4 linked regions of the Macaca fascicularis genome follow. Each later gene encodes a partner of the first gene's protein in a complex. Links are inferred from orthologs where the notes say so. Each region holds a gene or a part of one and is shown in the gene's direction. Other genes may lie near its edges. The genes, in order: APBA1, LIN7A, LIN7C and LIN7B.

Region 1 (7,416 bases):
GCTACTCAGGAGGCTGAGGCAGGAGAATCGCTTGAACCGGGGAGGTGAAGGTTGCAGTGAGCCAAGACTGCACCACTGTACTCCAGCCTGGGCAACAGAGTGAGACACTGACAAAAAAAAAAAAAAAAAAAAAAAAAAAAATTAATACCCTGATAAGCCCAAAAGTAAGGTCAAAAACTTTTAAGTCGAACATCATAAGACAGGAACTGTCTGTATTTGTAGGTATAGTGTAGGCTGATAGAGTTTGGGACCTCAGAGATTAAACTATGAGCCATTGGGAGACATATTTAAGTTTACCAATAATATGAAGTTTTAAATTGGCATGCACAGAGACTTTAGGTGCACATGCAGTGGTGGTGAAGGCTTTACTTTAAACCCAAGTCACTTGGCACAGTGTCTATACTATTGTTACCTGCTTCAATGGTCAGCAGGTTGCCAGTGTTTTATTTTACTTTTAGTGACATGGTCTTGCTCTATTACCCAGGCAGAAGTGCTATGGCACAATTATAGCTTATTGCAGCCTCAACCTCCTGGATTAAAGCAATCCTCCCATCTCAGCCTCCCAAGTAGCTAGGACTACAGGAATTCGCCACCATGCCCACTAATTTTTTTTTTTTTTTTGAGAGATGGGGGTCTTACTATGTTGCCCAAGCTGGTCTTGAACTCCTAACCTCCAATAATCGTCCCACCTTGGCCTCCCAAAGTGCTGGGATTACAGGCATGAGCCAACATGCCTGGCTGCCAGTATCTTATATACTGCTTCCTGAAACACTTGAATAGCAGTTTTGACCCTTGTTAACAGGAGAAGGTGGATTGGAGTGCCTTATGAAAGATCTACTAAAAAGAAAAACAATAAAGCAGGCACAGGAAATCTAGAAATAGAATAGAACAAGACCAAAGAAGGGATTGAGACATGGATCTACATGCCATGTGGATCCACTCATTTCCTACGACGATCTGAAAATTTGGCTTTGAGTTTCCTGACAGCCAAGGCAAGAGTAACAATAGCACTTAAGACAATGATTCATGCTATCTGGAAGAAATAGGAATATGTGTTTTTCATAGGGGTGGGGGAGGGAGGGAAATTTCCACATATGAACATTTGGTACATAATTAGTTTTGGAGGTCTCTGGGCTACCATTATAACTAACAATGATTACCTTTCTTTATATGGCACGTAATACTTTGCAGAGAAATTTCACATACTTTCTTTACACAAAAATCCTGTGAGGTAAGATTCGAGGATATTATTAAAGCAATAATGTAACCCTCATTCATTTATCTAAGAACCTAGTCTAACTGGAAACACAACACAAAAAGTAGAAGATAAGCAGAAAGATCTCTGAGATAGCAAACCAAACAGCAGTAAGTGTATGCACAGAAAAGAGCCTCTCACTCAGAACCTATATTCTCTTATTTAACCTGAAATTCTAACAAAGTTAATTTCCTTCCTAAAACCGCAGTGGATTAAAAGTAACAAAACAAAAACCATTACAGAGAAGCACTCTGAAAGCCTCCTAGATGAGTACACAGGAGAGCAGAGGCAAGAACTAAAAACAATCAAAAGAGCAGTTAGCGCAAAAACAGAAAACTCTAAACACTCACTAAGTAGGATAAGCTCAGACTCCCTCGGCCCTGGATCCTGACCCTCCACGAATCAATTCCTCACAAGCCACCTCAGCGATCTTTCAGGAACTGAAATGTAATCCTGCTTGCCTGCTCCCAAATCTTGGCAACCCTTCATTGACTTTCCAGGCTCATAAGACAAAATTATTATTTAAAAACGGTCCACAAGGTCTCCTGAGGTTCTGATTGCTGCCTGCCTCTCCAGCTTCATCTCACTTCCGCCCCACCTGCTTGGGCCTTTTGACATTTCCTTCCCTTTACCTGGAAGTGTCTCACTGCTGCCTCTCCTGGGGGATCTGAAATGTCGTTTCCTTAGAAAGCCTTACCTAGTCCTGGAGTCTACATTAGATTTTCCCGTGCACCTTAGCGCCTTTGCAGTTGAGAATTTATCACAGTTGCACTTTGTCTGATTGTTTTATTTGTTTGTTTGTTTTTTGAGACGCCAAGGCTGGAGTGCAGTAGCGCGATCTCGGCTCACTGCAACCTCCACCTCCCGGTTTAAGCGATTCTCATGCCTCAGCTTCCCCAGCAGCTGGGATTACAGGCGTGCACCACCACGCCCGGCTAATTTTTGTATTTTTAGTAGAGACAGGGTTTCGCCATGTTGACCAGGCTGATCTCAAACTTTTGGCCTCAAGTGATCTGCCGTACTCGGCCTCCCAAAGTGCTGGGATTACAGGCGTGAGTCCCTGTGCCTGGCCAGTCTAATAGTTGAATACCTATTTCCTTCAGCCTACTGTGAGCTCTGGTGGAAAAGGACTATATCTGGCCCGTACATATGCCAAATAAGTATTCACTGGAAAAAAAAAAAGAGTAATGTCACAGGACAAGCATACATCTTCCTAGTATATAATCTTAAATTTTACTAAAAGATCTTTTTGAGAAGGTAGCTGTTTTATTAAAGAAAAAAAATTACGAAGTACAATGCAGAATTCATACGAATATTAAAGCTAAAACAAGACTTTCAGAATGCTTTAGGCTACACCCCCAGACTTCTCTGGAGACATTGTGCTTAAAATACTATGGAAACATGGTGTGGTAAAAGATGCATTTCCCAAGGGATCTGGATAACCAGCGCTTATCCTCATTTTACTGGAGGAGAATATATGTCTGGAGAGGGCTTTGCAAACTACTAGGCTTTGTGCGTTATAACATTATTATGAAAAATCTGTGTTTCTAAGACGGGGAATGATTTAGTTATTGCATTGCTAATTACAGGTGGGGCTAGCGCCAGAGCCCAGGCCTCTCGGGGCCTGTCTAGCCCACAGCTTTTCATTAATACACAGCACCTGCCACCTGGTCCCTGCTGCAAAGGGTGGCCTCTCGAGCTAGGAGCCATATCTAGGGCGGATAGCCTATGCTAGGCTCAAAGACACTCTCAAGTTCCGATCAACCAGAACTGAGGAGCGGGTAGGAAAACCAAGCCGAGCCTTCCCCGGCTTCACAATCCGCAGGCTCTCCGCTGTCCCTGGCCGGACTGGGCAGTTTCCCTGGAGAACTGCAGCCCGGCCCGCTTCGCTCAGGCCCAAACCCGCGCGGCTCTCCCCCTGGCGGGGAACTCGCAGCACTGCGGCGCATTCCGGAGACGCCGTCAATCTCCGGATTTGAAGCGCAGGCGGTATCTAAGGGGCCTGGGAAGCGGGAAAGCTCGGGAGTCACTCACGAGAGAACACCCTGCAGGAGTCGACCCAGCTGCCTGGCTTCGTGGTCCTGCAGCGTGGCCCGTTGCTTCGCAGAGAGGTTGGCCACAGCTCCTGGCTAGGAAACTGGGGACCCCTTGGTTTGCCACCGAGGAGGGTGGAGGTCCCCGTCAGTCCCCTCGGGGATGCAGCCGCATTTTCCCCTCCGTGCGTCTGGCCGGGAACCAGAGGATAGGGCTGTGGAACACAGGCAGGGCGGGCCCTTCGAAACCCGGACGCGAGGGGAGGCGAGAGGCGCCGGTGTCCCGCACGCCCACCGGCGCCGAGGCAGGGGAGCTGCGGCCAGCTGCCCACGGAGGACGCCGGCGGCGCCGCCGCCTCGGGCTCGCGGGCCGCGCGCGCACGCGAGTGGGCGTGGGAGGCAGGGGCGCTACTAGCAGGCGGCGTGCGCGCGCGCGCTCCCCCGCGCCCTCCCTCGCAGGCCCGCCCGGCCCCGGCGCGCGTCACGAGGGGAGAGCTAGAGAGCTGGAGGGCGGGAGGGAGGGTGGGGAAAGGGGGTGGGGCCGCGAGACCGGAGGGTTCCGAGCGGCGGCTGCAGAGCCGGAGCTGGGCGAGGGCGGCTGCGGTCCCGGCGGCGGCGGCGGCGGCGGCTGCGGCGGGAGAAGATGGTGGCGCTGGAGGTAGCAGCGGCTGGAGCGGAGCTTTATTCCCAGGCTTGGCACCAGCGCTGTCACTAGCGCCGCCTGCTCCCGCGGGCCCGCGGACCCAGCTGTCAGGCAAGGTACCACAGCCAGGGAGGGGTGGGTGAGAAGGGGTGCCCGGCGCTGATGCGGCCCCCGACGGAGCCCGGGTCCTAGCCAAAGGGCGCCCCCGGACGCGAGAGGGGCTGCCTGGAACAATAGTGCGGAGGAGCGGGGGCAGCAGGCGACATCCAGGGGGCAGTGCCTGGAACCATCAGCCAGCGAGGCGGGGTAAGGCGGCGTTGCGGGCGAGACGGCTGGGGTCCGGTGCCCGCTCAGATGCCAGGCTTCGGGCGCAGCAGGCGGGCCTGATGACAGTCATGGCAGGAGTGAGTGTGTGAGAGTGTGTGTGTAAAAGGTATAGCAGAGGGGATGGGGGTGGCGGACGGAGGTGTTGGGGGGTGACATTTCCAGGAATCCCCGCTAGGATCCCTCATCTCTCGGCTGACTCTCCTGGAGAAAGAATGTGATGATGGAAACGGTGAGGTGGGCAGGATGCACTTGGTGTGTGAAGTGTGGAGGGAGGCAGTGGGGTAGGGGCGGGTTTGTAAAATTCTGTGTATGTGTGTGTACGCGTTTGGTTGCATCCACGTTCCCCAAACAGCGCCCCAAACCCAGAGATCTGCCGCTGCCCTGACTTGATGTCACCGGCTGAGACTGTGGGACAGTGTTTGTTATTTTGACCCTGCAACTCTGAGCACAGTCTCTGTTCTGCTCCTGCGTGTGGATGGCCCAGTGTAGGGATTCTCGCTTCCCCTTCCTCTGGCCTCATTACATGGGGATGTGGAAGTGAGCATGTTGCTTTGAGGCACATGGCAGGGAAATAGGATAACCGTTACGCATTCTGGGCTTGCTGGTGTACCCGGTTTTGAAGGGGGCTTCCATCCTCTGATACTACTTCTCTGCTTAGCACCTGTTCCATAAGGGTCTTGTACTCCCTGACTCTGCAGTTTCTATTGTTTTTCTCTTGTCTGACCTGAAGGAGAATAGTGTTGAATGATCAGATTCCTCTTCCTGTCCCCACAACTTTCAATGCTAGCTAGACCTTCTCCTTCCACATTTAAGCACTGAAAACCTTATGGCTAGAGGATGGATGGTCTTTGTATTGGTTCTTTTAGAATGAACTCTGGAGGTGTGTACGTATAGAGAGATGCGGCGGGGCGGGGGGCAGTCTTTAAAAAAGAAGAAAAATATCACACGGAGAAGTGTTTGGTGCCCACCTGGTCAGCGTCACACAGCCAGGGCGTTTTCCTCAGGAAACAGGATACTTTATTTCTACTGCTGGTGACATCCACTCTCCCAGCTGTCACAATAGCTAGGTGGTGCCGTGTATCATTTGGAAACTGAAATCTCCCAAGACCCACAGTGATGGGGTCCCAGGTCAGTAAAGTCCCTGCTTTCCTACCTGATATAGCCCACTAGTAGGGAATTGGGAAAAATGTCAGGCTGGCAATACCTCACCCAGTGGGAACAAGGACACAGAAATGCATCGAGTCTATGGCTGTTTAATTGTCTCTGCGTGGTAAAGATAGGTGTGTGTAGGGTTGGGTAGAGATAGGCAGGGAGATGGCATATTCATGTGTATCCAGGGCAGTGTGATTCCTCCTCGCCTGTATTTCTCCTGCGGTATTCACAGGAATGAGTATCTCGACACTACTGTATTAAAATGTTGTATGTCTAGCTTAACCTGTTTAGGACATATTTTAGTCATAACACCTTAAATTCTACTGCATTGCTGTCGGAATCCAAACTGGCTGCACGGTTCTCTTCAAAAAGCCGGTAGCAGTCATGGCTACACAAGTAAATATACAACATGTTGGCACCAGAGGTTTCTTTTTCTTTTTTAAAATTTTTGTTTTGCATTCTTTTATGGGCAAAGGTTGCACGATATCGTTGTTTCATTGAAAATAATAAAACTAGGGCTATCCACATATGCTTTTTTTCTTCCCATATATCTTATTTAATGATGTATAGACTAGGTGTTCTTGAAGTGTCAATGTAAAGTAAATTTCCCCATGTTCTTCAAGTCAAGCCTTCTAAGATTTTAATATGAGGTTGGTTGTTGGCTCTCATCCAAGATTTAAGGATAGATTTGTAAAAATGAATTTTGAATCTTAGTTTTTTACTCTCTTATTTGTTATGCCAAATCCCTTTCTGAGAAAAGTACTTATGGAATTTAAAAGCCATTCTAAGAGGTTTTGGTTTAAAAAAAAAAAAGTCATCATCTTTTATATTTGCAAGTAAGACCAGGGATGTAAATGTCTTACAAGAAAGTTTAATAATATGAGGAATTACCAGGTAAATACACTGTTTAGAGAAAGAGAAATTACACAGCAGCATAATCGATGACTCAGGAATCAGTGATTTCTTTTCTAACATAAACGTGATCATTTTTATTTTTATTTATCTTTTTGAGACAGGGTCTTCCTCTGTCGCCCAGGCTGGAGTGCAGTAGTGTGATCATAGCTCACTGCAGCCTCAAACTCCTGGCTCAAGCAATCCTCCTGCCTCAGCCTCCTGAATAACTGGGACAATAGGCACATGGCACCACACCCAGATATTTGTTTATTTTTTTCAGAGATAGAGTCTCGCTACGTTGCCCAGGTTGATAGTTTTAAAAATGCAATATCTGGCTTTTCTAAAGATTGGACTGGTATAAGGTTCATGAGACAGCTCTGGTAAATGGTTGTACCTTTTGCTGTGGCCTGCAGCAAGCCATTTTTTTGTGCATGGATGCCTTTCCTTCACTTAAAATAGCATCAGTGCTTTTCTCTACCATTATTGAGTCTCTTAAGGGTTTTTTTTTGTTATTTGTTTTGTTTTTTGTTTTCATTTTGGTTGTTGTTATTGTTTGTTTGTTTCAGAAGACTTAGGAGTAAGAGATATTTGAAAATGACCTCTGGGTCCAAAAGGAATTAACTGTATGTAGTACCTTGGGGAGATAGGACTTTTAGCCTACAAAGAAGAAGTAATTGTTGCTAAAACTGAGAGAATTTCAAGCAATGAAATCTGAAGTTAACTCTCTGGGTTACAATAGTTAATTTGCAAACATCTTGCCTCCTGTGTCTCAGACCCACTGTACCTAGGGGTATAGGGGACAGGGAATGTTGAGAAGGGTTGGAGATTCAAAGAATGCTAAGTCTTAGATCCTGCCCAGAGGTGAATCTTGGTCTAGAAGGAGAAAAGAGGAATATGTGTTACTAACTGTAAAAATAGTGAAAAAATGATTAAGTGCTGAAAAAGCAGTATTCCTGCAGGGCTGTGGGAATTCACAGGGTACAAAATGACTTCTGATGGAAGAATCAGGGAAGGTTACATGGGATATAGCATTTGAGCTGTGATTAAGGTGGCATTTGGGTTGGCAGAGAAGGAAGGGCATGCTTGGGGGAGGAACAGCGTAGCACAGGCCT
Region 2 (6,728 bases), on another chromosome or scaffold:
ATAAGGGGTTATTCAATGCATAACAATAGTGCCCTCCAGAAAAATTTCACCAGTTTTTTGTTATTAGCAGTCTGAGTCCAATTTTCCTACATCCTTGTCTGTACACCAAATTTAAAAATACATATTTATTATTTTTAAGTCAAAAATGAAATATTGGCCAGGCGCAGTGACTCACGCCTGTAATCTCAGCACTTTGGGAGCCCGAGGCAGGCGGATCACAAGGTCAGGAGATCGAGACCATCCTGACTGACACGGTGAAACCCCGTCTCTACTAAAAATGGAAAAAATTAGATGCACATGGTGGCAGGCACCTGTAGTTCCAGCTATTTGGGAAGTTGAGGCAGGAGAATGGCGTGAAACCAGGAGGTGGAGCTTGCAGTGAGCCAAGATCGTGCCACTGCACTCCAGCCTAGGTGACAGAGCAAGGCTCCATCTCAAAAAAAAAAAAAAAAAAAGAAGTATTTTATGTTGGTCTATACTTCTTTGATTACTAGGGAGTCTGAACATCTTTTCTGAGGTCTATCGACCATTTTTATTTTTTATTTTTTGTCCATGCATATCAACTGCTCATTCTGCTTAGATCTTTATTGATTTGTTAGAAGAATGAAGGGCAGGCTGGGCACGGTGGCTCATGCCTGTCTCCCAGCAGCTTGAGAGGCTGAGGGAGGTGGATCGCTTGAGGTCAGGAGTTCAAGACCAGCCTGGCCAACATGGTGAAACTCCATCTCTACTAAAAATGTAAAATTAGCCAGGCGTGGTGTTGCACACCTTTAATCCCGGCTACTCGGGAGGCTGAGGCAGGAGAATCGCTTGAACCCAGGAGGCGGAGGTGGCTGTGAGCCCAGATCAGGCCATTGCACTCCAGCCTGGCCAACAAGAGTGAAACTCTGTCTCAAAAAAATAAAAAACGGGCAAATAAACCAGAAAAAAATCCCTTTTGCACTAAGTATATGACAGTCATATACTGAAAGTGTTTTTCTGATTTGCCCTTTTTTTTTTTTTTTTACAGTGTTTGAGACAGAAACTTACACTGTGTACATCTGATTTTGTGGTTATGTTTCCCTGGGTATTTTAAATTAAGAATTCCCTTTCTATTGAAAAATGATTAGTGTTCACCTTTCTTTTATTTTAATTATTTTATGTTTTTATTTTACATTTAAATTTTAATTAATCTGTTATATTTAGCATAGTGTATGAAATTGGGTCTCCTTTTTTTTTTTTTTTTTTTTTTTGAGATGGCTGTAAACCTTACAATCTTACATAGGCTATCAATTTTTTTTTTTTTTTTTTTGAGATGGAGTCTTGCTCTGTCGCCTGGGCTGGAGCGCAATGGCACTATCTCGGCTCACCGCAAGCTCCGCCTCCTGGGTTCATGCCATTTTCCTGCCTCAGCCTCCTGAGTAGCTGGGACTACAGGCGCCCACCACCAAGCCTGGCTAATTTTTTGTATTTTTAGTAGAGACGGGGTTTCACCGTGTTAGCCAGGATGGTCTCGATCTCTTGACCTTGTGATCCACCCACCTCGGCCTCCCAAAATGCTGGGATTACAGGTGTGAGTCACCACGCCCGGCTGGGTCTCCATTATTTTGTATTATTTAATTTAGTTAATAGCCCTTTTCTCCTTTGGTCTAAAGTCCACATTTATAATAAATAATACTTTCCATGTGATGACTCTCCTTTTGGACTCTGTGCTATGTTCTACTATCTCTTTTATACACACAATAAGATACCACTTTAATCATTGTAGATTCTTAATAAATTTTAATACCTGATAGAGAAATTTCCTCTTTGTTACTATGTTTTAATTTTTTTCAAAATTTTGTTGACTAGTGCATTTACTCTTCCAGATGCAATTTGGAAATTTCATTCCTAATGTTAGCATTATAACTTAGGTCTTCATTGCTTTTCACCCGCATAACCTGAATCCCCATGCAGTCCATTCTGTGACCCCGTGCAGCCTAACCTGCTTATAGTTTAATCAGAGTGTAATACATAATAACGATGATGGTAAGATAACTCATTTGCCATGCTTTCTTAAAAATTTAAATTTGGGGTTCTTAATATGATACTAATTTCAGATTTGTCTCTCAGGGAAAAGAACATTGAACCTCCTCCCTTTAAGAAGTGTCATTGTCTTTTCAGAGTGTGGAAGGAGAACACCATGAGAAAGCTGTGGAACTACTCAAGGCTGCTAAAGACAGCGTCAAGCTGGTAGTGCGATACACCCCAAAAGTTCTGGAAGAAATGGAGGCTCGCTTTGAAAAGCTACGAACAGCCAGGCGTCGGCAGCAGCAGCAATTGCTAATTCAGCAGCAGCAACAGCAGCAGCAGCAACAAACACAACAAAATCACATGTCATAGGTGAGAAGTGACTTATTTGATACAAGGAGTATATATATATATATATATATAAAATGTTCTAAAATATATTTTCTTTAGCTGAAACAAAACCATTAGATTTAAATAATCCAAACAAAATCAATCAAACAAAAGACAGTGATCTAAAAATATATAAACAAGATAGTTTATGTGCCATTCAGCTATATGCTCCACAAATGCAAGATAATTTGGAAAATGATGTACTTTGAAAGGGACAAGTATGGGCTGTAGGATGCTTTTAGACAAATTAAGAAAATGCAGCCTCGTGCAAACCCGGATCCTAAGGAGAAGAGTGTGAGCTGGATTCCAGGCCTCACTCACCCTGTTGGCCAGTTACCTTTACACAGTGTATTAACTGCACAACCTTATAGCACTGACCATGGAAAGATCTCCTTTAGAATACTGAGATACAATTTATTGGAAAAGTGCCCCACTGAAAAGAATGAAGCTGAGACCTGCCACTGTCCATGCTCTAAGAGATTCTGAAGTTCTCATGCTCCTTTAAAGTGTGTCTAACATACAAATGGCCAACAGCTATATGAAAAAATGCTCAGCATCTCTAATCATCAGGGAAAAGCAAATTAAAACCACAAAGAGATATCACCTCATACCTTTTAAATTGGCTATCATCAAAATGATGAAAGATAGCAAGTGCTAGCGAGGATGTGGAGAAGAGAGAACCCTTGCACACTGTTGGTGGGAGTATAAATTGCTACAGCCAATTTGACAGACAATACAGATTTTCCTCAAAAAGTTCAAATAGAATTCCATATGATCCAGCAATTCTGTTTCTGGGGAGATATTCAAAGGAATTGAAATCAATATGTCAAAGAGATGTTTGCACTCCCATGTTCAATACAGCATTATTACAACAGCCAAGATATGAAAACTGAAGTGCTATCAATGAATACGTTTCTTTAAAAGTGATAAGTATGTGATAGATATCTATATCTACCTACACACACACACACACACACACATGAATACCATTTAATATTTAGCCTTTAATTAGCAGGAAATGTTGTCATTTTTGTCAGCGTGGATAGGCCTAGAGAACATCATAGTAAGTGAAATAAGCCAGGCATGGACAGACAAATACCACATGATCTCACCTATGTGTGGAATCTGAAAAACTTTAATTCATAGAAGTAGAGAGTTGAATGTGGTTTCCAGAGGCTGGGAGGTTGGGAGAGGAGGGGAGAGAGAGAAAAGGGAAAAGGTCTTAGCCAAAGGGTACAAGTTTCAGTTAGGTAGAAGGGGAATAAGTTAAGATGATCTATTATACAATTTGGTACCTATGGTTAATAATATTGTATTGCATATTTCAAAATAGCTAAGAGAATGGACTGTAAATATTCTCACCACAAAGAAACAATAAGTATTTGTGGTGACAACTTTGGTAGCCTGATTTGATCATTCCACACTGTATACACGTATTGAAACATCACATTATAATCCATAAATACATAAAATTATTACTTGTCAATTAAAAATAAAACTTTAAGAGTTTTGAAAAAGTTGTAAAGTAGAAATAAAATGTGTCTAAGATTCTCCTGCCTTTTTCTAAATTCCACTTTGTAACAAAGAATACTAAATCAGGTTTTGCTACATATTATCAAGAAAATTGAAGAAAAAATGTTAAGAGACCCCATCTTTGAAGTCCCTACTATGCCCTATGCCCTTATCACATTTTGTCCTTAATCCTCAGAAAAAAATCCCTTCAAGGCAAGTATCAATAAAAAGTTTTTTAGATGAAAATATGAAGCTAAAATAACTTCAGTGGATCTCCCATGACTACATTTACAAGAAACATAGAATTCTTTTCCTTTTTACTCTACCAGGTTTTCATCTGCCAACATCAGATATTCTGGAGTTATATAAATTTTCCTTGCTATCCTTTAGAGAAGACAGTTCATATTGTTAGATACCTTTACACTATGGTGTCTGCGAATGTGTATTTGAAGTGAGCTTCAAATATTCTTAGAAAAATGATTGTGGGTAATAGTGGTTTTAGGTCATTCAACATCAGATTACTATTTGCACAAAGAGAAACACTGGATATAACATGAGGCTTTCAGTTGTTTGTGACACTTGTGAAAAGAAGAAGCTACATAGAAAAGGGGGTAAAAGGTATGGGATTTGTTCTCCAACAATTCTGGGAATTCAACAATCTATCTTTCATAGGCTGCTATTTTTTATTATATATACCATGTTTCAGTATCTTTATCTCAAATTGCATTCTATCCTAAAAATACATTTATTGAACATTAAGTATTTATTTGACACTGTTATAAGTGAGGCACTGTTTAATGAGCTGCAAAAATGGCGTGAATAATGCAAAGTTTTTGCCCTCATCCCTACATTCTGGTTGCAGGAGATAGTTAATAAACAAATAAACAAGTAAATAAAAATATCCTATTGGGACCAGTACTTTGCAGAGTAGAAAAGGGGGTTTAAATAGAGAACTGCTTGGTGGTAACTTGACTGTGTGATCAGGGAAGATCTCTGAAAGGAGGTAACATTTCGATGGGACTGAATCACAAGCAGCAAGGAAAAAAGACTAAAAAGAGAAAGAAATAGCCAATGCAGTAGCTCTGTCACAGGCATATTTGAGGAACAGAAAGAAAGCCTGAGTAGTTAGAGAATAGTGAGTCAGAAGAACAGTGGTGGTGGCTATGGGGTCAATGGGATAGCTGGGGACCAGGTCACAGAGACCTTTGTGAGCCACTGAGGGAAGTTAGATTTTATTGCACTGGAAGCCACTAAAGGTTTTTAAGCACAGGAGTGACATGGTCTGATTTATTTAAAAGATTACTCTGGCTGCTGTGTGAATAGGTTATTGAAGACTGAGAGTGGAAGCAGAGACCAATTAGGAGGCTAATGTATAGTAGTCCAGGCAGGAAATATGGTGACTTGGTCTAGGATGATGTAGTTGAGACAGAGGTCTATAGACAGACAAGGACAAGTCATTTTGTCCACATCGTTCTCTGTTATCCATTCCAAATATAAAGCCACTTTACATTTGTACTTTTAGAGCTCTTAAAGATCTCTTTTGTGGTAATGACAATGCATTATTCCTTAGTACAACATTTACACTCTTTTTACTAACTCATTTTTCTCTCATCCTTGATAATATAGATGTATACCAATTCTCCTAATTGATTTACCACATTGGTCCATAGTAAAATTGTGCTAGTATTTTGAAACAAATATGTTCCCATTCAGACTTCTAAGGTCTTACTAAAGGCTTCCAATATTATACTCATTCAATCATCTTTAAAAGTATACAACTTGGCCAGAATTATTTGCTGGGCCATATAACTCAATTCCATTTCTCCGTTCCATCCATCTTCATTAAATTTCCTATGGTTTCACCACCACAGACTAGTTAGTATTTTTAGTAAAAAGCCTTTATTATGCAAACTGTGTTTTTTCTGGCATGAGATATAATAGAGTTCTATTTAGGTGAACATGAAATTTTTGTTTGTGCACTTGCAATACACATAAGCATGGTCCCTTGAGATAAAACTGTAGTGATCATTTCAGGTACAAATAAAATATAACCAAGTCATGTCATTCATGGATTTTCATGGTGACTTCAGTCAAAGAGACCTACATTAGCTCCTAATTACATTTTAATTAATTTGATTTCTAAGGACTAAATGGGATTTGTCACACTTGTTAATTCTTACTACAGTTGCTTCTGAAAAAAGTTTGAAGCTAATTTGAACTATTAGACTTTAAGCATCTCAGATTTTTTAAAAATTTAACCAGTCAAGCAAAAACCAATTAAAATCAAAATACTTGTCTGATATTATCTTATTGTTTATCAAATGAAATATAATTTCTAATCTGAAATTAGGAATAATGTGTTTTTTTATCTGAGATGGTAAAAGTTATAAAGCATCTAGCAATGATAAATAGTGAATACAAACGGAAAACAGATTTAATGCAAGTACTGTGCAGGGAATTTGTGTCTTATGCTTATTTTTAATTGTAAATTCTCTTAAAGTAAAAATCAATTGTCTTTTCCCCTAACTTCTGTATTTGACAATATTGAACGATATAGATTACATTTTCTAAAATGTAAAAAGTATTATTGTTGCGCAATAATATGCTAGAAATGTAAACAGAGAATATGAATAAGGGTTTTGTTAGCGCTATACCCACTTTTTTTGAGAAACAGTTGCATTAGTTCGTTTTCACACTGCTCATAAAGACATACCCGAAACCAGGAACAAAAAGAGGCTTAATTGGACTTACAGTTTCACATGGCTGGGGAGGCCTCAGAATCATGGCTGGAGGGGAAACGCACTTTTTTTTTTTTTTTCCTTTTAACGCGGATTCTC
Region 3 (7,337 bases), on another chromosome or scaffold:
GCTTTATCTTGTTATGGCAGCCCTAGAAACCTAATACAGTTGGGTATAGAAATCTAGTTTGCAAATATTTTTTTCTAAAAATTTAATTGCTCTCTGTGCCTCAGCTTCCAGTACTGCTGAGGAGAAGTACAATCTTGTTCTGATTTCCAGTCCTTAGAATATAACTTTTATCCTCTCTGGAAACTTCTAGGATCTTCTACCTATTCCTGGGATTCTGAAATTCTATGATGATTACATGTGTTAATCATCCACCCGGGTGCAGTGGCTCACGCCTGTAATCCCAGCACTTTGGGAAACCAAGGTGGGCGAATCACTTGAGGACAGAAGTTTGAGGCCAGCTGGCCAAACATGGTGAAATTCCGTCTCTACTAAAGATACAAAAATTAGCAGGGTGTGGTAGTAGGTGCCTGTAATCCTAGCTACTCGGATGGCTGAGGCACAAGAATCACTCGAACCCAGGAGGCAGAGGCTGCAGTGAGTTGAGACTGCGTCACTGCATTCCAGCCTGGGTGACAGAGCGAGATTCCATCTGAAGAAGAAGAAAGAAGAAGAAGGAGAAGGAGAAGGAAGAAAGAAGAAGAAACAAATTACCAGACAGGGAAAGGAAAAGAGCCAAAAAAATCCACAATCCCAGTTCATAAGAACAGTCCTGTTCCTACCAAAGTAGAAAAACCACATAATTCACATTGGGTATGGGGTAAGGAACTTTGAAGGGTACTGTCTTAGTAGTGGTATACAATTAGCCCTACATAAATGACTGAATTGGTTCCACCTAACAACAACAACAAAAAAATCAGACCCCAAAAGAACAAAATTGTTTTTCAAGTAAGTGAATTTTACAAAGTCTACCATTTTGTTTAAAAAAAAAAAAAAAGTGTCCAGGCATGCAAGAAGAAGGAAATTATGAACGGTAATGAAGAGAAAAATCAATCAATACAAACTGTGCCAGAAATAGTGTAGATCATAGAATTAGTAGACAAGGACATTAAAACTGTCATTATAATTGTATTCTATGTGTTTAAGAAGCTACAGAAAAGATTGAGCATGTTAAAATATAAAAGATGTAAAACACACACCCACACCCAAATCAAACTGGTAGAAGCAACAACTACAATGTTTTATATGAAGAATGAACTGGACAGGATTTCAATATTAGATATTGAAAAAAGATTAATGAACATGAAAACCTAGCAATTATCCAAAAGGAAACATAAAGAAAACCTTGAAAAAAAGAAGAGCATCATTGAGCTGTGAGACAATGCCAGTTAGCTCAATATACATGTATACTATGTACATGCACACGACTCCAATAGTCACCAGTGGAGAGGAGCAAGAGAATGCAAAGAAAAAATATTTGAAGAAATAAGAGCAATGTTTGCATTTGTCTTGCTCTACCTGGTATTCCTATCAAGGCACCTGGTACATATTAGGTGCTTAATAAACATTTCTTGAACACATTTGCAGCAGGAAAAAAAGACAACAATGAGTAAGAGATAAGCACCTGAGTGTTACTGCAGGGTATTTAGGCCATCAGAGGACAAAAAAGTGGAACAATATGGAGAAAGGCTTGGTAGAAGTGGCATGTCTTCAGCAGGGACCCATGAAATGGGTTCAACTGAGTGTCTACAAAGTTTGGAGAACAGGAGGGGATGAAGAAGGGCATTCCACACAAGAACAACATAAATGAAGATTTGGGGCCCGGCACAGTGGCCCACACCTGTAATCCCAGCACTTTGGGAGGCCAAAGCAGGAAGACTGCTTGAGCTCAGGAGTTTGAGCCTGGGCAACATAGCAAGACCCCCCATCTCTACTAAAAATTTAAAAATTTGCCAGGCATGGTGGTGCTTGCCTGAAGTCCTCACTACTGGCAAGGCTGAGACAGGAGGCTCTCTTGAGCTGTGATCGCACCACTGCACTCCAGTCTGGACAACAGAAAGAAACTCTGTCTCTAAACAAACAAAAAGACTTGAAACCAGGAATAAATATGGTTGAAACTATCCCACCCGGACTGAAGTGGTGGTTGCACTTAGCGGTAATAAGAAATGAACTTAGCTGGATGAGTTAGGGTCAGAGTATGCAAGGCTTTAGAAATAAGAAACAGGAGAGAACTATTGAAAGTTTCTGAACAGATCTTGTGATGATGAAATCAGAATTCAAGGGGAGAAAAAAGAAGCATAGTGATGGCAGATATCCGTGATGGATTTGGAGAAGAAAATACTAAAGGTGAATGGAAAGGGTGGACCAGCGGCAACCAGGTTATTAAAACAGTCGCATCATGAAGTGTTGAAATACTGGATGTAAACACACCTACCACAGTATCAGTACAGACTAAGGGCTTGGATAAATGTTAGTCAAATCCAAATACTAAAATTCTTCTTGGTTCGCGAAAATTTCAGGAGTGGCTCAAAGAATCTGTAATGCATTAAGAATACTATTTGCTTCACAATATTTAATTTACTTAAGATTTCATAAGAATCAGCTGCTTATAAAATTGTTACTTTGTGGTGCACCAAAGCACCTTGTTCTCTCCCTCACCCAGATATGTTATCATGCTGTTTGTACTTTCCACCCTTAAACAGATTTGGAGGGAAGATTCAAGCCGTGGATTTTTAAATTTAAAGCAATGCTGTCACAAACTGAGAACTGACATGTCATTACATATTTAATTGCCACCACATCCCAGAGTTTAAAAATTGAAAGGACCTAAGAGATAGGACCTCTCGTTGTACAGAGGCGGAAACTGAGACTGAGAGAGGGTAAGAGAACAGTCCCAGATCACAGAGCTGCTAATGGGCAAGGTGGGACTAGAATCCAGGCTTGACTCCTCTACGTGGAGCCAAGGGTTCGAAGCGATTCGGATAAGGGAAGCCCGAGGCAGGGAACGAGAGTCATGAAAGCAGCTCTTTCCAACCCTAGGAGGCCGGGGAACCTCGCCACCGCGGAAGGAGCGGAGCCAGGCCAACCTCAAAAGCCGCAAGTCCAGGTACCCTTACCCTGATGGCCCCGGCGACACCCTCGGCCACCCTCCTGATCTCGCGATACTAGCCGGTACTCACTTTTCCGGCTTCCTCTAGGCCCCGCCCCTCCACCTCAGCCCTTCTGTCGTCATTTCCTGTGGGTCTGTGGGCTAGGGAGAAGATGGCGGCGTTAGGGGAACCCGTGCGACTGGAGAGGGGTGAGTGCAGCCGAGGCTCGGCCGAGGTTGGTGGAAGGGTTGGGAGAGTGCTGTGTCGCTGGAGGGGAGGAGGAGTGACCCAGGCCCTGAGATCCGGAGCCAGGCTATCCCTTGTGCCGGCGCCTGAGGCCACCGTTGTTCTGTGCCTGGCTTTAGTGAGGGCGCTTACGGTATTTCAACTGTTACTCTAAGCTCTCCTCTGTTCACACGGACTGTCCCGAAGCACAGCACAACTAAACACAACCTGCCCGCTTCGCAGACACACGCCGCACACGCGCTCCCTTGGTGGGCACAGCAGAAGCAGCATTCAGAGACCCATATACCCGAAAAGCAAACGTCACACACCCGGTTCGCACAGACTACACTCAATGCCTGTACAACATGAGAACACACACGGTACAATTCAACAGAACCTCCCTTCCCCCTTGTTTACACACATACTCCTTCATTACTTTTTCCACAACATCGCTTGTATTTGGGTTGGGGTATTTGCTAGCTTTTGTGCCCCTCCTAGAAATGGAGAGGTTGCTTTAAAACAATCCTACTCACTTGGTCTTGGGAAGGAGGTTACGTAAGTAAGCAGAATAGTGGTAGATGCTAAAACGCTTGCAGGTGCAGTGTTTTTCATTTCTTGCAAACCCTACAATTGCAAACTGGTTGGCTGATTGCTTCCTAGAGCAGACTGTCAAGGAAAATAAAACCTCCTCTTCTGAGTGATTTTTTTTTAGAGAAGCCTGTGAAAATAACTGGCTATGCGCCTACCAGATTTCCAGCATTCCAGCGTTTCCAGTCCTTTTACAGATTTCCAGCATTCCACTCTGTCCCTAATCCTTTATTTCAAACAATTTCAAGCATGCTTTTCATGCACCAGCATTAGAAATCATTGATAGGAGCTGAGAAGTACAAATAAACATTTTGAGTACTTGTGGTTAAAGAAAAAAAAAAATTATAGGATGGAGACTGAAATTATATTGCACATATTAACATTTGCAGTTACAGTCTAAATACTACTATTGTTCCCTAAGAAAACACATTTTTAGAATTACTGTACTTAGAAAAACTTCTTTCCTAATGCCTTCCCACAAAGAAATGTGCACTTAATGTTGCTGATTTGCTCTTTACTGCGTTCACCATTTGGAAGTCTCACTGTAAATGAGATTCTTACCCTTAAGCCAATTAAAGCATCATTTTAGAGGACTAGCTACTCTGGGAAGACTTGCCGAGTTAGGCCTAAGTCTGTGACATCTTCCTCTTGAGCACAGTAGCACTGTTTTATGGATGGGAACAAATCTGTTTGGTGTTAACAGGAGTAGGTTTCTTCTTTGAAAGCTAGTTGTTAAGATTCTAACATATTGGTGGTCTTCTGTGTTTTTGTTGTTGCTGTTTGGAGACGTAGTCTTGCTTTGTCGCCCAGACTGGAGTGCAGTGGTGCGATCTCGGCTTACTGCAACCTCCGCCTCCGTGATCAAGCAATTATCCTGCCTCAGTCTCCCGAGTAGCTGGGACTACAGGCGCACACCACCACGCCCGGCTATTTTTTGTATTTTAGTAGAGACGGGGTTTCACCGTGTTGCCCAGGCTGGTCTCGAACTCCTGAGCTCAGGCAGTTCGCCCGCCTCGGCCTCCCAAAGTGCTAGGATTATAGGCGTGAGGCACTGCGCCCGACCAGTCTTTGTATTTTTAAATGCAACACAAAATGTGGAACTTCTGTGGCATTTAGTTTTGATAGTCATGGCTTTGTTTTTTGCTGTTAACAGACTTCTTTTCCATTCTTCAGTAGAAGGCTTAGCCCCTTAGGATGAATTACAGTTAGCCCTCTATATGCATGGGTTCCACGTTTCAGCCAACTGCAGATTGAAAATACTCAGAGAAAAAAATCGTGTCTGTATAGAACATGTACATTTTTTTCTTGTCCTTATTCCCTAAACAATGTGATATAACAACTATTTACATAGCATCAGATATTGTAAGTAATCTAGAGATTATTTAAAGTATGGAGGGGGGATATGCATAAGGTTATATGCAAATACTACATCATTTTATATCGGAGACTTGAACATCTGCAGATCTTGATATCTGTGGTATCTGAAGAAGGTCCTAACGAATTCCCCACAGTTACTGAGACAGCTGTACTAGTCGTTGCCATTTAGCAGGGTAAGAAAGTCAGATTACATCACCTCTGATTCTTGTTTACAATTCTAACATACTCTATTAACAAACACTCCCAACAATCTTACAGCAGAAAATCCTACAGTACAATTACAATACAGCACCTGATCACATATGATTTAGAGTGCCTTCTAAATCATCAAACTATGATCTAATGAAACACAAATTTGAGCACATGTTAGCTACATTTTAGATTTAGTCAAAAGCATTTTATTTTTTTCCGTTTTTTTTTTCTTCATTGGAAATTTTTATATGACTTACATATTATAACTTTATAAATCAAAATAATTGATGAACCAACAGTCCCCATTTATCAGTCATTCTGGTGATGGGAAATCAGAATGGTGAAGGTCTATTTGCTTCCATTGCATTTGATTAACTTTTTAAGTTTAAGCTTTCTTTACCACAAATTTAAAAATTTGTTTTCTGGCCAGGCGCAGTGGCTCATGCCTATAATCCCAGCAGTTTGGGAGGCCGAGGCGAGCAGATCAATTGAGGTCAGGAGTTCGAGACTAGCCTGGCCAACATGGTGAAACCCTGTCTCTACTGAAAATACAAAAATTAAGTGGGCGTGGTGGCGGGTACCTGTAGTCCCAGCTACTCGGGAGACTGAGGCACAAGAATCACTTGAACCCTGGAGGCGGAGGTAGCAGTGAGCCAAGATCATACCACTGCACTCCAGCCTCAGCAATAGAGGGAGACTCCGTCTCAAATAAATAAATAAATAAATTATCTTTCAGCCGGGCTTGATGGCTCACGCCTGTAATCCCAGCACTTCGGGAGGCCAAGGTGGGTGGATCACGAGGTCTGGAGGTCGAGACCAGCCTGACCAACAGGGTGAAACCCCGTCTCTACTAAAAATACAAAAATTAGCCAAGCGTGGTGGTGGACCCCTGTAATCCCAGCTACTCAGTAGGCTGAGGCAAGAGACTCTCTTGAACCTGGGAGGCAGAGGTTGCAGTGAGTGGAGATTGCGCGACTGCACTCCAGCCTGGGTGACAGAGTGAGACTCCCTCTCAAATAAATAAATAAATAAATAAATATCTTTCTTTACTGCATTTATTCATAGTTTTCTATCTGCAAACACGAAGAAGGCCATACTATATAAAGAAAAATTTCTAGTCCTTGAGTATAACATGAAATCAGAAACATCTTCTACTTAAGTCAAAAGGAAGCAAAGCAGTAATGGAATACTGGGCACTATAGTACCTGGGGTACAGAAACTGTACAAAAACAGTTTTTGGGAAAAAAAAAAAAGTAGAGATAACAGTATTATAGCTGACCTCCTGAATCTTCTAAAAATGTCTCAATTCATAACATTTATCCTCGCACTTCTCAATGGGAATCCCCTAACATGCTTCATACATTTCTAAAAATGTATACAACCTCTTAGGCTTTTTTTGGTTTGGTTGGTATTTATTTTTTTTTTTGGAAATGGAGTTTCACTCTTTTCACCCAGACTGGAGTGCAGTGGCACAATCTCAGCTCACTGCAACCTCTGCCTCCCGGGATCAAGGGCTTTCTCCTGCCTCGGTCTCCCAAGTAGTTGGGATTACAGGCACCTGCCACCATGCTTGGCTAATTTTTGTTTTTTTTGGTTTTTTTGTTTTTATTAGAGATGGGGTTTCACCATGTTGGCCAGGCTGGTCTTGAACTCCTGACCTCAGGTGATCCACCCACCTCGGCTTCCCAAAGTGCTGGGATTACAAGCATAAGCCACTATGCCCAGCCAGTATTTCTTATGATTAATTGGTACCAGTGTAACATAACATTTTTGCTTGCTGAGCCCTTTTTTATGTATTGTGTGGTTCAGTCGTTAACTGAACTCATAACTCTTCCTCGTAACCCTTATATGGAAGGTACTGTTATTTCCATTTTACAGTGAAAGAAACTGGGACATAAGGAAGTCATGTAACTTGCCCACGGTCACAAAGCTAATTGTTTTTATTTTTCTCTTTCATAAACATAAGTGTTTGAGCTTGTTTGAATTAAC
Region 4 (7,464 bases), on another chromosome or scaffold:
AGTTGGGATTACAGGCACGCGCCACCACGCCTGGCTAACTTTGTATTTTTAGCAAAGACGGGGTTTCTCCATGTTGGTCAGGCTGGTCTTGAACTCCTGACCTCAGGTGATCCACCCACCTGGGTCCCCCAAAGTGCTGGGATTACAGGCATGAGCCACCACGCCCAGCTACACTTCTTTTTCAGAACGCTCTCAGGCAGGCACAGTGGTTCATGCCTGTAAACTCAACACTTTGGGAGGCTGAGGCAAGAGGATTGTTTGAGCCAAGGAGTTCAAGACCAGCCTGAGCAACAAAGACCCCTCCATCTAAAACAAACAAAAAGATAAAATTTAAAAACCTCTCTTCTCATGGTTTCTCCCACTTGGCTTTCTGCCTACATTTCAGGCCATTCTCTGCTGTCCTCCTGACTTTTAAGTGTTAGAGAGGTTTGGGGACCAGTCCTAGGCCCTCTTAATATTCACTTGCCCCTGACATTCTTATCCACTCCTGTGGTTTTATTTACCACCTATGCCCCAATACTCAAACATGCCTGCAGACCAGGTTGCTCTTTTGAGCCCTAGACCTAGATCAATAGTTTCTCCCCATGGATTCTGCATAGGCTCCTCAAATTCAAAATATCCAGTATCGGTCAGGCAAGGTGGCTCACGCCTGTAATCCCAGCACTTTGGGAGGCTGAGGTGGGTGGATCACTTGAGGTCAGGAGTTCGAGACCAGCCTGGCCATCATGGTGAAACCCCGTCTCTACGAAAAATACAAACATTTGGCAGGCGTGGAGGTGCGCGTCTGTAGTCCCAGCTACTCAGGAGGCTGAGGCAGGAGAATCACTTGAACCCGGGAGGCAGAGGTTGCAATGAGCTGAGCTTGCGCCACTGCACTTGAGTCTGGGCAACAGAGGGAAGACTCTGCCTCTGAAAACAGACAAAATATCCAGTATCTCTCCTTCAGTGTAGACCATCTTAAAAATGGCACTGGCCGGGCGCAGTGGCTCACGCCTGTAATCCCAGCACTTTGGGAGGCCGAGGCGGGCGGATCACAAGGTCAGGAGATCGAGACCACGGTGAAACCCCGTCTCTACTAAAAAAAAAAAATACAAAAAATTAGCCGGGCGCGGTTGTGGGCGCCTGTAGTCCCAGCTACTCGGGAGGCTGAGGCAGGAGAATGGCGTGAACCCGGGAGGCGGAGCTTGCAGTGAGCCGAGATCGCGCCACTGCACTCCAGCCTGGGCGACAGAGCGAGACTCCGTCTCAAAAAAAAAAAAAAAAAAAAAAAAAAATGGCACCAAAGCACCTCAATACTGTCTTCTCCTGCACCTCCCAATCCCCATATATAGCCAAGCACCAAGGCTTGTCCAGACATTTTCCACATCTGCCCACCCATCTTCTATGCCTTGGCCCTGGTGCCAGCTGCCACTGGGATGGCTGTGGTACCCTCCTAAGCTGCCCCGTTGCTTCTCGTCTTGTTCTTGTCCAAACCAGTCTCCATAGTGGCTACAGTGATTTTTTTTTTTCCAGTAGATATGCAGTCTCACTATATTGCCCATGCTGGTCTTGAATTCCTGGGCTCAAACAGTCCTCTCGCTGCATGCAGCCTCCCAAAGTGCTAGGATTACAGGTGTGAGCCACTGCGCTCAGCCCAGTGATTTTTTTTTTTTTTTTTTTTGAGACAGGGACTCACTCTTTCACCCAGGTATAGTGCAGTGGTGTGATCATAGCTCACTCCTGCCTCGACCTCCTGGGCCCAAGCGATCCTCTCACCTCAGTCTCCAGAGCAGCTAGGACTACAGGCACACGTCACCAGGCCCAGCTAATTTTTGTATTTTTTTGTAGAGATGGGGTTTCATCATGTTGTCCACGCTGGTCTTAAACTCCTGGGCTCAAGTGATCCTCCCACCTCAACCTCCCAAAGTGTTGGGATTATGTGCTGGGATTACAGGCCTGAGACACAGCGCCCGCTCTGCCCAGAGTTTTTTTTTTTTTTTTTTTTTTGAGACAGAGTCTTGCTCTGTCGCCCAGGCTGGAGTGCAGTGGCCGGATCTCAGCTCACTGCAAGCTCCGCCTCCCGGGTTTACGCCATTCTCCTGCCTCAGCCTCCCGAGTAGTTGGGACTACAGGCGCCCGCCACCTCGCCCGGCTAGTTTTTTGTATTTTTAGTAGAGACGGGGTTTCACCGTGTTAGCCAGGATGGTCTCGATCTCCTGACCTTGTGATCCGCCCGTCTCGGCCTCCCAAAGTGCTGGGATTACAGGCTTGAGCCACCGCGCCCGGCCTTTTTTTTTTTTTTTTTTTTTTTAAGCGATGGAGTCTCGTTCTGTCAGGCTGGAGTGCAGTTGCCATCTCGGCTCACTGCAACCTCCGCCTCCTGGGCTCAAGCAATTCTCCTGCCTCAGACTCTCGTGTGGCTGGGAGTACCGGCGCACACCACCATGCCGGCTATTTTTTTTTTTTGTATTTTCGTAGAGACGGGGTTTCACCATGTTGCCCAAGCTGGTCTCGAACTTCTGAGCTCAGGCTATCCGCCCCCCTCAGCCTCCCAAAGTGCTAGGATTACAGGCGTGAGCCACCGCGTCCGGCCCCAGTGATCTTAAAATACAAATCTGAGACCCAACCTAGGCGACAGAGCGAGGCTCCGTCTCAATAATAATAATAATAATAATAATACAAATTTGAGTGTCATATTTTACTCTTAGGAGTTTGCATGAAGCCCCAAATCCTCAAGGCGCATATGCCAACGCAGGAGCCCAGGCATAAACTGTATCCTGCCGGCCTTTTCACCTCATCATCAACCAATCCTAACTCTGCTTCCAGTCCTGTGGACTCTTTCTGCGTGGTGGGGGTGACCCAAGCTCCACCTCTTGTTCATCTTACCTCCCAGGACTGTATGTCAATGTCCCTGCTCTAGGATCTCCTTCGTCTTCTAGATCCTTACCTCCCCACTCTCAGCTCTCATTACAGCCGTGGCTGGTGGTCTACCTCTCCCATAGACTGGAAGCTCCGTTCGGGCCGTGGGCTTGGCTGCCCTGCTCACCACAGTGTCCATGCCTTGGGCCCAGATGTTTCACAGGAGTTTGTTGAATGAATGTGGGAAAAGAATGGACAGGGGATAGACAGGTGTGGAGGGCAGGCAGACACTGATCCTGAAAGAGAAACACAGACCGAACCTACAACGGGAGGAGTCGCCAACAGGACCGACTGGCCGGGACGGAGGGCAGGGCCGCGGGTGGCGCGCGGCAGGGGGGTCGGGACAGTCCGGCGCTGGGGAGCTGGGCGCTCTCCAGGCTGCGCCTCCGCAGGGGGCGCCCGTGGCCCGGGGCGTGGCCTCGCGCAGCCCCGCCCTCCTCGCCCGCGCCGGGGCAGGCGGGCCGCTGGCAGCTGTGGCGCCGACATGGCTGCGCTGGTGGAGCCGCTGGGGCTGGAGCGGGGTAAGCGCGCGCCAGGGGGCCCTGCCCACCCGGGCCGCGGCCTGCATACCCAGCCCCCGGTCCCCGCCCTTCCCAGGCCAGGCCAGTGCGGGTGGGCCAGCGGACCCGGCGGGGTGGGCGGGGCGGGCGCCGGGGCCCGGCGGTCGCGGGGTGTGGGAGGCTCCCTGAACCCAGGCCGGGGCGGGGGGCGCCCGCCTTACACCCCGGCCTGTGGAGGGGTCCTGGGGCTGCAGGGCGCCCGGCTGGTGGCGGTCTCTCCTGCGCCACCCTGGACTCTGCGGGGTGTCCGACTGGGCTTCGGCGGTCCTCCCTGGACTGTGCGCTCGGCCTCACTCCGCCGCTCTCCTTGCTTCTCTGCGTCTCGGGGTCTCTGCGCCCCGCCCCCGCCCCGCAGACGTGTCCCGGGCGGTTGAGCTCCTCGAGCGGCTCCAGCGCAGCGGGGAGCTGCCCCCGCAGAAGCTGCAGGCCCTCCAGCGAGTCCTGCAGAGCCGCTTCTGCTCCGCTATTCGAGAGGTGAGCGGCGCGCGGCGCAAGGGCGCGAGCTGGTGGCCGCCGTCCTCTTCCTCCTCCTCCTGCTAGTCCCGAGCCCGGGGACTACGCCTCCCGGCAGCTCCCGAGGCGGCCAGCCTTGGGGTGCCCACGCTTCAGCTCAGTGGTTCTTCGGGAGTTGTAGTTTCCTCCGGCTCCGGTTGCGGGGGCGGGGCGGATCCTTGCGTGGCAGCGGGAGAGGGTCTAGGGGCCCGGACTCCTGCGTCTAGGGCTGGAGGAACTGGCAGCTCCCTGATGCCGCTGCCTCCTCACCCAGGTGTATGAGCAGCTTTATGACACGCTGGACATCACTGGCAGCGCCGAAATCCGAGCCCATGCCACAGCCAAGGTGGGCCCCGCACCTCATTGCTCCTGGTGTCTATTTAACTGCCTGGTCGAGCTCAGTATCTCCTTCATGCCAGTCATTTCTGTTTCCTCCCTCATGATTTTTGCTAAATCTATGTGCCACTCTTACCATTATTAAATAATCGCACATTTTTAACTTAAATGTCATACGAAGGCGTCTTTAGCAACTGCAAATGGAAACCAGTGTGGCATGACTGGCTAGAAGATAACCTTCAACATCTGTACAGTGAAACCAGGGAAGTCATGGCGCTCTGATCTCTCACTGCACAATAGTGAGATGCTACCTCTTGCTGCTGCCCAGAGGCTCGGATCTCCCTCCAAGCCTGGCTTTCATCTGTTTAAAAGTAAGATTGCGGCCAGGCACGGTGACTCACGCCTATAATCCCAACACTTTGGGAGGCCGAGTCAGGTGGCTCACTTGAGGTCAGGAGTTCGAGACCAGCCTGGCCAACATGGTGAAACCCCATCTCTATAGAAATACAAAAAAAAAAAAAAAAAGCCGATCGTGGTGGCGGGTGCCTGTAATCCCAGCTACTCGGGAGGCTGAGACAGGAGAATCGCTTGAACTCAGGAGGCCGAGGTTGCAGTGAGCCAAGATCATGCCACTGCACTCCAGCCTGGGCAACAGAGCGAGACTTCATCTCAAAAAAAAAAAAAAAAGATTGGCAAGTATGGGGTATTCAAGACACACACCAAATGGACACTTTCTCTTGCAAGTGAACAGAAAGGGACGCACAGTCATTACAGGGGGATCTTGCATTGTGCCATGGCACGTGTCCCATGTTTGGGGATAGTAACCCAGGCTAAATCGCTGTCCTCGGTTCAGATCCCCCACCCCAGCCTTCTTGCCCACCTGGCAGGGGCCCTCATCTTCAGTCGCTTTCTCTCTCCCAGGCCACAGTGGCTGCCTTCACAGCCAGCGAGGGCCACGCACATCCCAGGGTAGTGGAGCTACCCAAGACGGATGAGGGCCTGGGCTTCAACATCATGGGTGGCAAAGAGCAGAACTCGCCCATCTACATCTCCCGGGTCATCCCGGGGGGTGTGGCTGACCGCCATGGAGGCCTCAAGCGTGGGGACCAACTGTTGTCGGTGAACGGTGTGGTGAGTGGAGGGCTGAGGCAGGACTGCGGGACACAGTCTGTCTAAGGTAGCATAGCCCCTGCTTTTGACATTCACTCAACACACACTGACTGAGCTCTGCCTCTATGGCTAGCCCTGTGCTGGCCAGTGTTACAGACCCTGAGAGATGTTGGTCTCAGCTCCTACACTCAACCTTCCCTCTCTGGGGAGGGCAGTAGGCCTCGGCTGAAATAGTCCTAAGCCAGAGACATAATAATGAGGAACTGCAAAGTACTGTGACAGCCCAGATGTGGCACCAGGCCAACATACATACAGGAAAGTTTTGCAGAGTAAGGAACATTTGGGTTGGGTGTTGAAGGATGAGTAGGAGTTCTCCAGGCAAACAAGGTAAAGGGTGTTCCTGCTGAGGGTACTGTAGATAAGGATAAGGACTTGGCATACCTCTGAGCTGAAAAGAAAGGGCTTAGTTCTGAGGGAGGTCTGGGGCATGCAGGTAATTAAAATCACTGTGGTTAGGCAGGCTGTGGTGCCTCACACCTGTAATCCCAGCAATTTGGGAGGCCGAGGCAGGTGGATCACTTGAGGTCAGCAGTTCAAGACCAGCCTGGCCAACATCGTGAAACCCCGTCTCTACTGAAAGTACAAAAAATCAGCCGGGCGTGGTGGCAGTCATCTGTAATTCCTGCTACTTGGGAGGCTGAGGCAGGGGAATCACTTGAACCTGGGAGGCAGAGGTTGCAGTGAGCCGAGATAGTGCCACTGCATTCCAGCAAGGGTGACAAGAGTAAGACTCCCTCTCAAAAAAAAAAAAAAAAAAAAAAAAAAAAATCACTGTGGTTAGAGTTGAGGAAGGCATAACTGGAGAGGTGGCTGGGGTCAGCCATACAGGACCTGAGTGCCAGCCTGAGAAGCTGGGACTTTGTCCCATGGGTGCTGGGGAGCTATGGGAGGGGTGAGCCAGGGATAAGCTCAGCTTGCAGGTACAGAAGGACCCCTCTGGGACCCTATGGAGATGAACTGAGGGGAGAGACTAGAAGCCAGAAGGCTGGGCTAAGAGTCCAAGGAAAGGGGACAAGGCCTGAGCTGGCCCAGGGCTGTGGGGACAAAGAAGAGAGAGTCAAAGCAGGCAGGCATTAGTGGGCTGTGGGCAGGGAAGCCACAAAGATGGGTCTAGATGTTTGACCAGGGACTGAGGGAACATGGGGCTGTCCCTGACATGGGAAACCTGGGAGGTTTTGGAGGAGGACACTGAACCAGGAGTTAATGACTCTCCCACGAGGAGGACATGAGGTGTTGGCATCTCAGGGCTGGCACCAGGCTCACCAGCAGTGGGTCCCATCTCCCAGTGGGGGCTGGGTGAGGGCAGTGGGCCTCAGGCCCAGCTGTCTGTGTTGGGCCCTGCAGAGCGTTGAGGGTGAGCAGCATGAGAAGGCGGTGGAGCTGCTGAAGGCGGCCCAGGGCTCGGTGAAGCTGGTCGTCCGTTACACGCCGCGAGTGCTGGAGGAGATGGAGGCCCGGTTCGAGAAGATGCGCTCTGCCCGCCGGCGCCAGCAGCACCAAAGCTACTCGTGAGTCCCTGGGTCACCACATCTCTGGGGCCTCCACTGGCTCCCTTTAACCCCAGGCTCCCAAACCAGGCCAATTCTTCCTGGACCTTCCGGCCCTGGCCCCTTCTCTGGGATGCTGACCCTTGACCCCTGGCCCAGCCTCTCACCCCAGGCTATTCTGGCCAAATCCCCTGGGGACCCCTTAGCTTCCTTCCATCCCAAGATATGGAACCTACTGTGGCTGGGATCCCTCAGCCCACTTCCCCGGGCCCTTGACTCTGCAACCCCAGTCCTGCCTCTCTCATGACCCGGAGCCCCCCTGATCCCGGGTCCCTTCTCCACCCTCCTTGCAGGTCCTTGGAGTCTCGAGGCTGAAACCACAGATCTGGACGCTCACACGCATTCTCTCCCTGTACAGTATTTATTGTCCCTAGCACTTTATTTAAAGGTCTTTTACCCTCACTGAGTGTCTGTGTGTCTGTCCTGCATCCCTGGGTTGGTGTCTTGAGATGTGGAGGGAA

Evidence for each region.
Region 2: APBA1 (region 1) and LIN7A share a complex: the UniProt entries of both Homo sapiens proteins name them as parts of the brain-specific heterotrimeric complex. The link is inferred for Macaca fascicularis from reciprocal best matches to the Homo sapiens genes APBA1 and LIN7A.
Region 3: APBA1 (region 1) and LIN7C share a complex: the UniProt entries of both Homo sapiens proteins name them as parts of the brain-specific heterotrimeric complex. The link is inferred for Macaca fascicularis from reciprocal best matches to the Homo sapiens genes APBA1 and LIN7C.
Region 4: APBA1 (region 1) and LIN7B share a complex: the UniProt entries of both Homo sapiens proteins name them as parts of the brain-specific heterotrimeric complex. The link is inferred for Macaca fascicularis from reciprocal best matches to the Homo sapiens genes APBA1 and LIN7B.

What each region holds. Positions count from the first base shown.
Region 1 is NC_088389.1:100,366,825-100,374,240, reverse strand, and holds the start of APBA1 (amyloid-beta A4 precursor protein-binding family A member 1), read left to right. Parts: upstream 1-3,226; 5' UTR 3,227-3,366; intron 3,367-3,812; exon of another isoform or gene 3,813-4,237; intron 4,238-7,416. UniProt on the Homo sapiens protein: Putative function in synaptic vesicle exocytosis by binding to Munc18-1, an essential component of the synaptic vesicle exocytotic machinery. May modulate processing of the amyloid-beta precursor protein (APP) and hence formation of APP-beta.
Region 2 is NC_088385.1:87,580,506-87,587,233, reverse strand, and holds part of LIN7A (protein lin-7 homolog A), read left to right. Parts: intron 1-2,142; coding exon 2,143-2,361; intron 2,362-6,728. UniProt on the Homo sapiens protein: Plays a role in establishing and maintaining the asymmetric distribution of channels and receptors at the plasma membrane of polarized cells.
Region 3 is NC_088388.1:38,081,936-38,089,272, forward strand, and holds the start of LIN7C (protein lin-7 homolog C), read left to right. Parts: upstream 1-3,114; 5' UTR 3,115-3,138; coding exon 3,139-3,175; intron 3,176-7,337. UniProt on the Homo sapiens protein: Plays a role in establishing and maintaining the asymmetric distribution of channels and receptors at the plasma membrane of polarized cells.
Region 4 is NC_088393.1:57,092,521-57,099,984, forward strand, and holds LIN7B (protein lin-7 homolog B), read left to right. Parts: upstream 1-3,352; 5' UTR 3,353-3,382; coding exon 3,383-3,419; intron 3,420-3,813; coding exon 3,814-3,932; intron 3,933-4,224; coding exon 4,225-4,296; intron 4,297-5,207; coding exon 5,208-5,417; intron 5,418-6,800; coding exon 6,801-6,964; intron 6,965-7,296; coding exon 7,297-7,318; 3' UTR 7,319-7,402; downstream 7,403-7,464. Other genes in the region: C19H19orf73 (putative uncharacterized protein C19orf73 homolog), read right to left, coding at 7,403-7,464. UniProt on the Homo sapiens protein: Plays a role in establishing and maintaining the asymmetric distribution of channels and receptors at the plasma membrane of polarized cells.